Neodiprion lecontei: one gene and its partner. The main gene of each other region encodes a partner of the protein of the gene in region 2 in a complex. Links are inferred from orthologs where the notes say so. Each region holds a gene or a part of one and is shown on either strand. Other genes may lie near its edges.

Region 1 (4,860 bases), on a different chromosome or scaffold from region 2:
GGCCATACTTGCATCGAATACTAACGCGATTTTCATTGGCCGCGGTCCGAAGGCCCAAGAACCAATAAGGCCCTCAATCAATAGTACGTCATTTTAACGATTTTCACAAATTTAATAACTCTTATTTATACGATCAATTATCACGATAAAACTGACCCTTTATTATGCCCTATTATACAAACGACAGACAAATACTTTCGTCAATTTTCTTACGTTATTACGTAAAGAATTTCTGTATTGCCTACATTGCCATGCAGTACACACGCGTTTGAGTCTAGTGTCAGATTCAAATATACTTTTATGACGCCTTTATGCATCGAAGAAAATTTTTAATCTTCTCTATTTGAATTGTTAAGTAACAAAAAAATATAAAAAACTTGACAGATTATTTTATACCAGTTAAAGTAATCCTCCCCCTTTCGAGACTTGTCTTTTAAATTATCTTCACGATTGCGAAAAAATATGCTTAAGCTCGAAGTCAGTTACATAATTTGAATTTTCGAACGTGTACTCTTCACGAATATATATTGATAGTATTCTAAAATTCGTATTATCATACCATTAGCTTTTATTTCATTGGCAAATGGTCTGACGCATCTTCTGACGTTGGACAAGAGAGAAACAATAGAAATGCGTACTTGTATAACAAGAATATTTAATTCATACCTACAATTACGGGTTTCGTATAAAAGGTATGTATACACAACAGCGGTTTCCTTAACGATATTAATTATAGTATCGTAATCCACTTCAAAATTCACAGAATTTGATTATCGTATTTTTATTCAATTTGAATTCAACGATGACAGTTGCGGGAACGGATTTTGTTTTGAAATGACCAATTTTTTGTGCTGATGAGAAATGTAACCCCTGATTTTACCCTCGTAAATTAAATTGGCTACAAGGCATTCCGTTTCGTCCATATCTACATCGTCAACACCGTGCATTTCAAGAGCAGCCAAAAGACTGGCTACGGGTATTTGATGGGTATTTAAAACGAGATAAACCTTTTTGAACAAATTTCTATACGTAATGAGCTTCAGCTTTTCAACTATTAAGTAAATCCCAGCACTAATAAAGAAGATCTCATGTTTGTTCATCACTTCCTCCAAGCTGCGTAGGTTTCCTCGTTTAACAGCTTCGACCAACTCCCAAAATTCCAATAGATTGTACTTTTCTAACAATGATTTTTTTGGCATATAGCCCAGCAGCATTTTGACGGGAACTAAATACGTCAGAATTAAACGTTTGTTCTTTGCTGATTCTTTGTGGCAACGGACAAAAGCGTAGGTCAGATATTCGTCCGCTGTAACACAATTTAATAACAGGCATTAAATAAATCCACTCTTTAATTTCATTCTAAAAACATCGTTACCAGTTAGATAAAATTAACATCATCTGTATTATACATTTTCAACATTTTTTGATTTAGAAAAGCATAAGTGAAACATTTTTTAATGCTGAGTAATTTAAAAAAAATGAACAATAAGCTACATTTCCAGTTTAAAAGTGACTGTCAGTGGAAAGGCCTGCAACTGACTATTGACGCTTACCAGCTGTGTAATCACTATCGAAAATGGCTTTGCGTCCCATAAAAAATTTATACGTAATTTTTTGCGCGAGCGCGAACTGATCCTTAAGACCGGACGATTCAATGATCCTGATTAGAGGTTTGCATAAATCGAGTTTGTTTATGCGAAAATAGACCTTCCACAGTTGGTTAACCAATGCGAGCATTCCCCATCTTTTCGTGTCATCTTCAGAGTTCCTGTTGTCAGCTGCACAAACTCGAAAACAGCTCATTAGGCACTCAGCACATTTTTCAAGCACCTCACCGGACTTTTGATTTTTACCAAACTTGGATGCTTCAGCTTTAAGGGCTAGACGCCTGAGATCTAAGCACATGGAATTCATTACTGGCAACATCCAATTCTCGTCTTTTTGTAACTGGAGTATCTTTGCCAGTGACTGAATAGCTGCACTCTGATGAGCATACGACGTTAATGCATCGTCTTTATTTAATGACGATATGACCCTGGAAAATGTTTATCAAAAATTTAATTATTTTTGCTTAATAATATCTCTGAAAAATATTCTACTTACTTTATATGGTGTAAAACCAGGTCGTCAAAGGGTGCTGATAAGTGTTCCATTGCTTTTGTCATTGCAGCATCGCTTCCAAGTTGAGGATTTGTCGCATGATTATGACTAAGCGACAGCAGATCCTGGATTAAATAACATCAGGTATGAATCAGGAAAATCTTCGAATGCATAGTGACGATTATGGGAAAATTACAAATGTACTTACAGCCAGAACGTCACCGTCCTGATTCAACCAAGCGCGCCGAAGCTGTAAATAGAGAAATTATAACCTCACATCTTTCAGTTGATATTAACCAGTGATTGGATGGGCGGTTGAACAATTTTTTTACCTGCATTATGTATGAATCCATGATAGATTTTTATATTCGGTAACCAGGTTAATAAAGAACTGCCAATCACATCTGTTGAAAGTTGTTTTCTCGCGAAATTCCAGATATAAATACGTTCTGTCTATACCGTGTTGACAGATTACAATTCACAGTTTATCAAGTTTATTTTTTAGGTTATGGAATGGTTCTGAATATCAATCCATAGTCGTGTTCTTTAGTACCGGTATAGCCTGTTAAAACATGCCGACGGTGAGACGTATTGTCGGTAACATTATTATCGATCCGAATCCCATCTATGATGTTGATATTTCAAGAAGAGATAGTTGGCGATTCGTGTCTCATACCAAATTTCTTTTAAAACATATTCTATTACATCCAAGATTGTTAGTGGATCGTGAAAACGTACGTGAAAAACTAGGGTGGAAAATCGAAAAACTTCCATAACCTTCCGTTCGTGGTTTTCAAATCTACACATGCCGCTACAATATCTGATTGCGTTGTGCGCAAATGGCGTGCGCAGCTTTGCATTTTAGTTCCTAACCAATAGGAATGCCAATAAAATAGGTAATTCGCATGCAGCGTGCACTTGGTGGCGTTGGTTCCCTGCTTCACCGGCATTCCTATTGGCCAAGAACTTGGCACCGTAACAACTCAGCCTATGGTTATATTCCCTTCCCATTCTACGGGCATCGGATTAGGTTAGGTTAGGTGAGGTTTGAATTCTGAACGGTTGCAGCTGGTGTAAATTACATATATATTGTATAAATGAGCAGATCAGTAGGAATGGTTTAATCAACGAGAAGAACAATGTCAGTACAAAATATGACAATGAATCTATCGAACAATGCTCGATGTTACACATCAAGTGAGTATAACGTATTCAATACTAGAATATATTTTTTAAACGTAAAATAATCGAACTAGTTCACCGACGTTAATCTGTTTTGTTTCCTCTCATTGAGCGTCGGAAATAATTATGGAACCTTTTTCAGAATCCAGCGGCAAAAAATATCCAATATTTAGTATCCGTGACCTTGTGCCAGGTCACACTGGACCGGAAACATCTGAAGCTGCTATGGCTCAAATAGCCAAACCTCGATCGGTGGGTTTAAAATTCAGGAAATTTTAAATGTTAACAGAATCCATTTTTATAAAGTCAATTTTGCTGAAATATCCAGAGTAAGAGTTAATAATATACAATTTTTTACTTTCAAAGCTGACTATCAAATAGATGCGTAGGTTATAGATTTTCCATGTTTGTTTTTGTTCTTATTTTCTGTCACGTTCAAGTATGTTTTCAATTTCATGTTATGGTGTAGATAATGACGAGAAATAATTGAATAGATGGTGTTTATAGTTCGAATTCTATATTTGGACTGTCTGCTATATACATTCCAGAGTCCCATCGACCTTTGACTTGCGGCTCACTTACACTTTGCGAATGCTCTAGACACACTCTTATACATGTACACTACAAATGTAATATTAACAGAATTGACTGTCGAGAGTTAATAGTTACAACTGTATATTTTGTTATTAATACACAGGAGAGAAAATGCCAACCAGTGAGAATATCTATGGCTTATTTCAATGATCCATCGGACCGCAGAAATACTGGATCAAGTCGCAAAACTCCTGGTCAGTATTGCTCGATAGAACGTTTCATATCTAGCTGGTACAGATAAATAAATATTCAATGCAGAGAAGTTTGTTCAGTTTTTAAAATTTCTTTTCAACTTGCATACATGGATTCTTGGAGGTCTCATTTTTTTCCTTTTCCTTTTATAAAAATTGTAGCTTACCTTACATTCTTGTACCGTACCAAATGACTAAGACTGGTAATGGTAACAAGTTTCCTTACTTCTGCAGGTCGACCATTGCCGCAACCAATTCGTAATATTCATAAGCTGTTTGAATCACCCAAAAACAATGCCAGAAAGAGACTCGATAGTTTATACGATTCTTCGAAACGAAATGAAAATTTAAATCATTTAAAAAGAAAAAGTCGACTTCTGATTGGTAACAAAATTGTGCCAAGGTTACCTGATAGCATCGCAGCACGTGAAGCAGAGCCCACTCGAAAACCGAGCACAGTTAATCCTAACGGAAATTTGAGATGCAGCAGACTATTACCACCGGGATCCATAACGAGTTCTTTTATTAATAAGCGAAATTCAACGGCAGTAAGATCTTCGATTTATAAACCTGTAAACCATGTCCTTGTTGATCAGAAAAATGTGCAAAGTGGAAGACCTTCGAATGTTCCAGAAGAGTCGTCGTTAATTTCTGAGACACATGATGAAAACTTGTCCATCAAACCAAGTACTACATCATTAATAAATTTTTCTGCTAATCAAATTGAAGATGCAAAAAAGGATTCAATTCACTCAGTTTCGACGCCCAGTTCTCCCAAGCAAAATCAGAAATC
Region 2 (4,824 bases):
GCCATTCACACCTCAATACATGAAATATTTCACAGGTTCAGTTATCTGATGTATTATTGAATCGACTTATAAATACACTTCTATCTAAATAATAATAGCAACCAAGTATAAAAAATTTGCAGAAATTAATTAGGTTTTTTGTAACAACAAACGTTCTCTAGATATGTATGGTATTGATATCGAATTTTTTTATCATTCTGGGCTGTTAATCATGTTCTCTTACGCTTTTGTGTCATAAGTGTGTTATTTCATGACGCGAAGACTCCAAGTTCACAAGTTTAATGCAAACATAAATTCATGGTCATTTTTTGAAAGTTACATTTTTGATTTGCATTATTTTTGTCAAGCAGCTAGAAGTTAGATTACTAACTTCAAACAATGCAGTACATATCTCATGATCATGTTTCCTAATTAATTACATTTTACTTCATTATTAGCAGAATTGAATGCGTTTTTTTGGTAAAGATGCCATGCTTACTGTATCTCCTCATTGAATATTCCTTATTGACAAGATACTTTAGTTTGTAAAGAAATACAAGGAAGAAAGAGTCGATAGTAACATGGTATAACGGTTTCTTCAATTGTTCTTAATGAACTGTATAGCCTGAATAATTACATATCAGGCAACGGTACTTTGACCAAACGAAATAAAATATCCCAAATCTGATTGTTGTCCCGCAAACTTCACGATTTACTATTTATCTGTCAGAGTTTTCGTTGAAGTGTTATGACATTACTCGAATGGGTATTGACACTAACATGTGTATCTTTAAAATAAGCACAACAATAACGAAATATGAGGATGCACTTATTGCCACCTAGTTTTTGACAAAGATTAAAAAAAAAAATTGGATCGTCAAAGGATATATCTAACAAGCCTTTAGAGCACATTGACAATATGTATACATTATTACATCGCTCTTTATTCATCCCTGTGAGAATGTTCTTCATTTAATAACGTTACAATTTAGTTAGTTATATCTTTGAGTATGGTAGACATAGTTTAACGTTTGCAGTAATGTAAGGGAAAAAAATTGATAATTTTACAGCGAAGGTTGAAGTAAGGAGACCATTTCAAATATCTCATTTTGAAGTGCTTATTTCAATTGTAATCATATTTTGAATAAAAAATGTTTAAAATAACATTCTATTGGCTTTTAATTGAACATGTACTCTTTACACATTCCACTCCCAAATATTATACCTGTAAATGTATGTGCATACGCTGAAAAACATCTCAAGTTATTGCTTGTTTAAAATTTTCGGTGCTAAATTAGACTGATTTTAATGGCAACCGATGGTGCTGAATTTGGATTGTTGCTGTACAATAAATCCAAGACAAAAAAATCCACAGCGGTCATAAGAAAAACAATGCTTTCGGAACGTAAACAACCCCTCTGCCCCAACCTACATGAATGACAAATATAGAGCGGGAATGTCTTTTAACTCTACCCTGAAGAGCCTACCACTCTAGAGCAAGCGAGAGCAATTTAGCCTTTGCTGGGGAACGATTGCAAATTGTCTACTTCGCCAATTGAGAGATAAAGAAACTGCACTGTTGCTTATACCTCTGCCGATGTCTCACGTAACGAAGTGGGGAAATTATAAATATAACTCACAAAATGACGTCGCATGGAGCCAATGATAGGACTCCGTATCGCCGTCTCGTAAACATATCGTTACAATGAGACTCCGCCTTAATAGACAGACACCCGCAACGCAGGCCACCGCAGATCCCGTAACAACACATGCCTGCAGTATTGGAAAATCGGTGATTAATGCGATTTTCTGTATTGTGGCGGTGTGCTTATTGCAAACCGTGTTCTATTAGTGAGTAGTTAAGTTTTGGTAATTATTGCGAGTAATTAGCAAGGTGCGATACGTCAGAGCAGTAAGTAAATGAAAATATTCGTCACATCTCTAATTGCGCCATTTCTGCATCTAACATAACCTGAATTGTTTGTATGCTATTGAATAAGATTCATCATTTTCAATATGTTATCCGTCTTTTCCATTAAATGACGAACACGTACGGCTTCCATGTGTTTTGTAAACAAGGATTGTTCGTAAATGTTGGCGGGGTCGGAGGTATGTAATAAGTGTGATGCAGCTATCTACTTGCGAATCACTCACAGGCATACAATCACTGCAAAATTCTTTTTCGTTGATATTTTTTCTCTATATACATATATAGGTATATATATCGTTGGCTCACGAGTGCTGATTGATGATATTTCACGTGTTGGCAATAATTTATAACCATCATATTTTATCAACATTTCTAATACGTATGTATCGTAATGAATTAATAGATCAGGAAATAAATAATCTCTTCTCTTACAAGTATTTTGAAGAATTACCAGGCATCTTTATTTATCACAAATATCAATGAGTGTCACTACTGCGGTAACAATCAGATGATCACGGTCATTTATATTAGTTGCAAGTATTCGGAATTATATTTACCTTTTACACTTATACATTTCTTTATTTGATGATTGATGCCATAATTTTGAACATTTTAGAAAGCTGCGGATAGTCCTTGTGCTAAATACGGTCATTAAAAATGTTTGGACAATCTGCTAATACTTCATTTGGTAAGTACCAATAAATTTTTTGTTCCTTATCTGCTTATTAATGCATTGGGTGCCTTTAACGAAATACTAAATTAATTTTATTTTAAACCCATCCATTATCCTGTTCTCGCTTGAACTGAGTCTGATCTAATCAGTTGTTGTTACTCTCCTTAAATATAAAGTGGTTACTTGAATAACTCCCTTTATTTAGTTGAAATTATGTGATACGCTCTGGAACTACAATAATGTAATTTGCATGAGTTTAATTTACGTCAGTAATTTCAAAGCAAAACGTTCTTTGAAACGTTATTACATGAAAATTGTCCTAATGAAACCGCAGTCAAACAACACAATCATATTTTCTTTACCACAATGTAAGAACTCATGTCATGCTTGATCCAATGCTCGGACAATATATCTATCACTTAATTATACCTGAACAGTTGAGTTAGGTGATAATAAAAATAAAATTTCAATTTTTTCAAATAATTACCACACGAAAGCCGTAGTAACCATTTTTTCATTAGAGCAAACTTACACTGAATCCCTTGCCGCCAGAGTCAGTCTGTGAAAGTAGTGGCCAACTACCAGCCCTGCACGTCCCAACATAAAGAACGTCTGTGCTGTATTAATTGTCACTTATTGATAAGAAATAGTTGTTTTAACAATCGAAATTTCATGCTTCAATTTTATTCTAAACATGGTATTCTGTTCATTGATGCCTGCATAAAACGTTATGCTATAATTTGATGTCTGTTAATGGTGAGCTGGTACCTTTGTACTTAAAAATTAATAAATATAGGAGGGTTTGGTGCAGGGACCCAGAGTAGCCCATTTAGTCAATCTCCATTTGGAAAACCCATCACAACAACGAGTTTTGGTGGTACAGCAGCACCAGTGTTCGGCAGTACCAACAATTCTCTGTTCGGCGCAAAGCCTGCGGGAGCGACGACAGGCGGACTATTTGGCAATACGGCAGCAACACCTGCTTTTGGACAACCAGCCACCAGTCAGTCATCATTTGGAGGTAATTTCTCAAAATGAATCGTCTATTATCAATTCTGTTTACTTTATATGATTAAGAACTCTGTATTGTTATAAACGTAGTTCTAGCGAAACTGTTTACAATATGATATCTGTCATATATTTCTGCTATGATAAAAAAAATAGACAAGAAGTTTCAAATTTACTTAATATTATATGATTACGTATTATAAATGAAAATTATCCAATCGTGCATAATTTCAGGATTCAGTAACCCAAATACGAACACCGGTCTCTTTGGTAATCAGCAAAATGCAAACACCAGTCTATTTGGAACAAGCAATCCTACCCCTGCTTTTGGTCAAGGAACTAAACCAGCAGGGTTTGGCTTTGGGAGTTCAGCTGGAACAGGATTATTTGGACAAACACAGCAACCTACTCAACAAACTGCACCGTCCCTTTTTGCACCATCCAATACAGCTGCAAATACCAGCTTATTTGGAGCTACAACTGGTAAATTAACCCGATGCTGATGAAAGTATTTCATTTAGGTATTCATCAAATCTTGTCAATCATATTTCATTGTACAGGATTTGCTGGAAATAATACTGCAGGTGGGATGAGTGGTACAGTGGTGAAATTTAACCCTCTTACTGGTACTGATACAATGATAAAAAATGGCGTTACCCAAACCATATCAACTCGACACTATTGCATTACTTGCATGAAGGAATACGAAGGAAAATCTCTGGAGGAATTGCGTTTAGAAGACTACACAGCAGGTCGTAAGGGACAAGTTCAAGGTAAGCTTTTCATCCTCGTATAAACTTTGGCAAACGGCAATGTTGACAACAACTTTTCAGTAACTCTTCAGTAACTTTAGGTGATATATGGCCGAAAATTTTTCGAAATACGGACTTGTACTTTATTTTTCAATTCTTCTGTGGCTAGACAGCCAAAAAACAAATTTCACACGCACATATATGAGATTGAGCAACAGAATCCAGCTGTATCTGAGCATATACTGAGAAAAAATACTGAAGATTCTGTAAAAGATTAGCTACACAGGCTTCGTACTTCCCATCAAAATTGGAGTTGAAGTAAAGATGAACATTCCTCTTTGAGAAATATAAATCCCAAAAAAAAATAGTAAATAGTAATAATACTAAGATTTTCGGAAACTAGAATATTGACATCTTTCAATACATTTCACGATTTATTTAGGATTTTGATTACAGTGAAGCCTGGTTTATGCATGACTCAC

Evidence for each region. The genes of interacting proteins can lie anywhere in the genome.
Region 1: nuclear pore complex protein Nup98-Nup96 (region 2) and PCI domain-containing protein 2 share a complex: the UniProt entries of both Drosophila melanogaster proteins name them as parts of the nuclear pore complex. The link is inferred for Neodiprion lecontei from reciprocal best matches to the Drosophila melanogaster genes Nup98-96 and PCID2.

Annotation. Positions count from the first base shown.
Region 1 is NC_060264.1:4,179,459-4,184,318, forward strand, and holds PCI domain-containing protein 2, read right to left. Parts: upstream 2,889-4,860; 5' UTR 2,454-2,888; coding exon 2,433-2,453; intron 2,351-2,432; coding exon 2,309-2,350; intron 2,226-2,308; coding exon 2,104-2,225; intron 2,036-2,103; coding exon 1,554-2,035; intron 1,307-1,553; coding exon 786-1,306; 3' UTR 639-785; downstream 1-638. Other genes in the region: epidermal growth factor receptor substrate 15-like 1, read right to left, coding at 1-36; uncharacterized protein LOC107227510, read left to right, coding at 3,240-3,297, 3,425-3,534, 3,980-4,070, 4,302-4,860. UniProt on the Drosophila melanogaster protein: Required for the export of nuclear mRNAs and involved in mRNA trafficking in the cytoplasm.
Region 2 is NC_060263.1:23,590,658-23,595,481, forward strand, and holds the start of nuclear pore complex protein Nup98-Nup96, read left to right. Parts: upstream 1-1,696; 5' UTR 1,697-1,891; intron 1,892-1,937; exon of another isoform or gene 1,938-2,088; intron 2,089-2,344; exon of another isoform or gene 2,345-2,442; intron 2,443-2,525; 5' UTR 2,526-2,566; coding exon 2,567-2,597; intron 2,598-3,378; coding exon 3,379-3,603; intron 3,604-3,824; coding exon 3,825-4,073; intron 4,074-4,150; coding exon 4,151-4,363; intron 4,364-4,824. UniProt on the Drosophila melanogaster protein: Part of the nuclear pore complex (NPC). Required for MAD import as part of the Nup107-160 complex and required for nuclear export of Moe probably via its association with Rae1. Plays a role in nuclear mRNA export.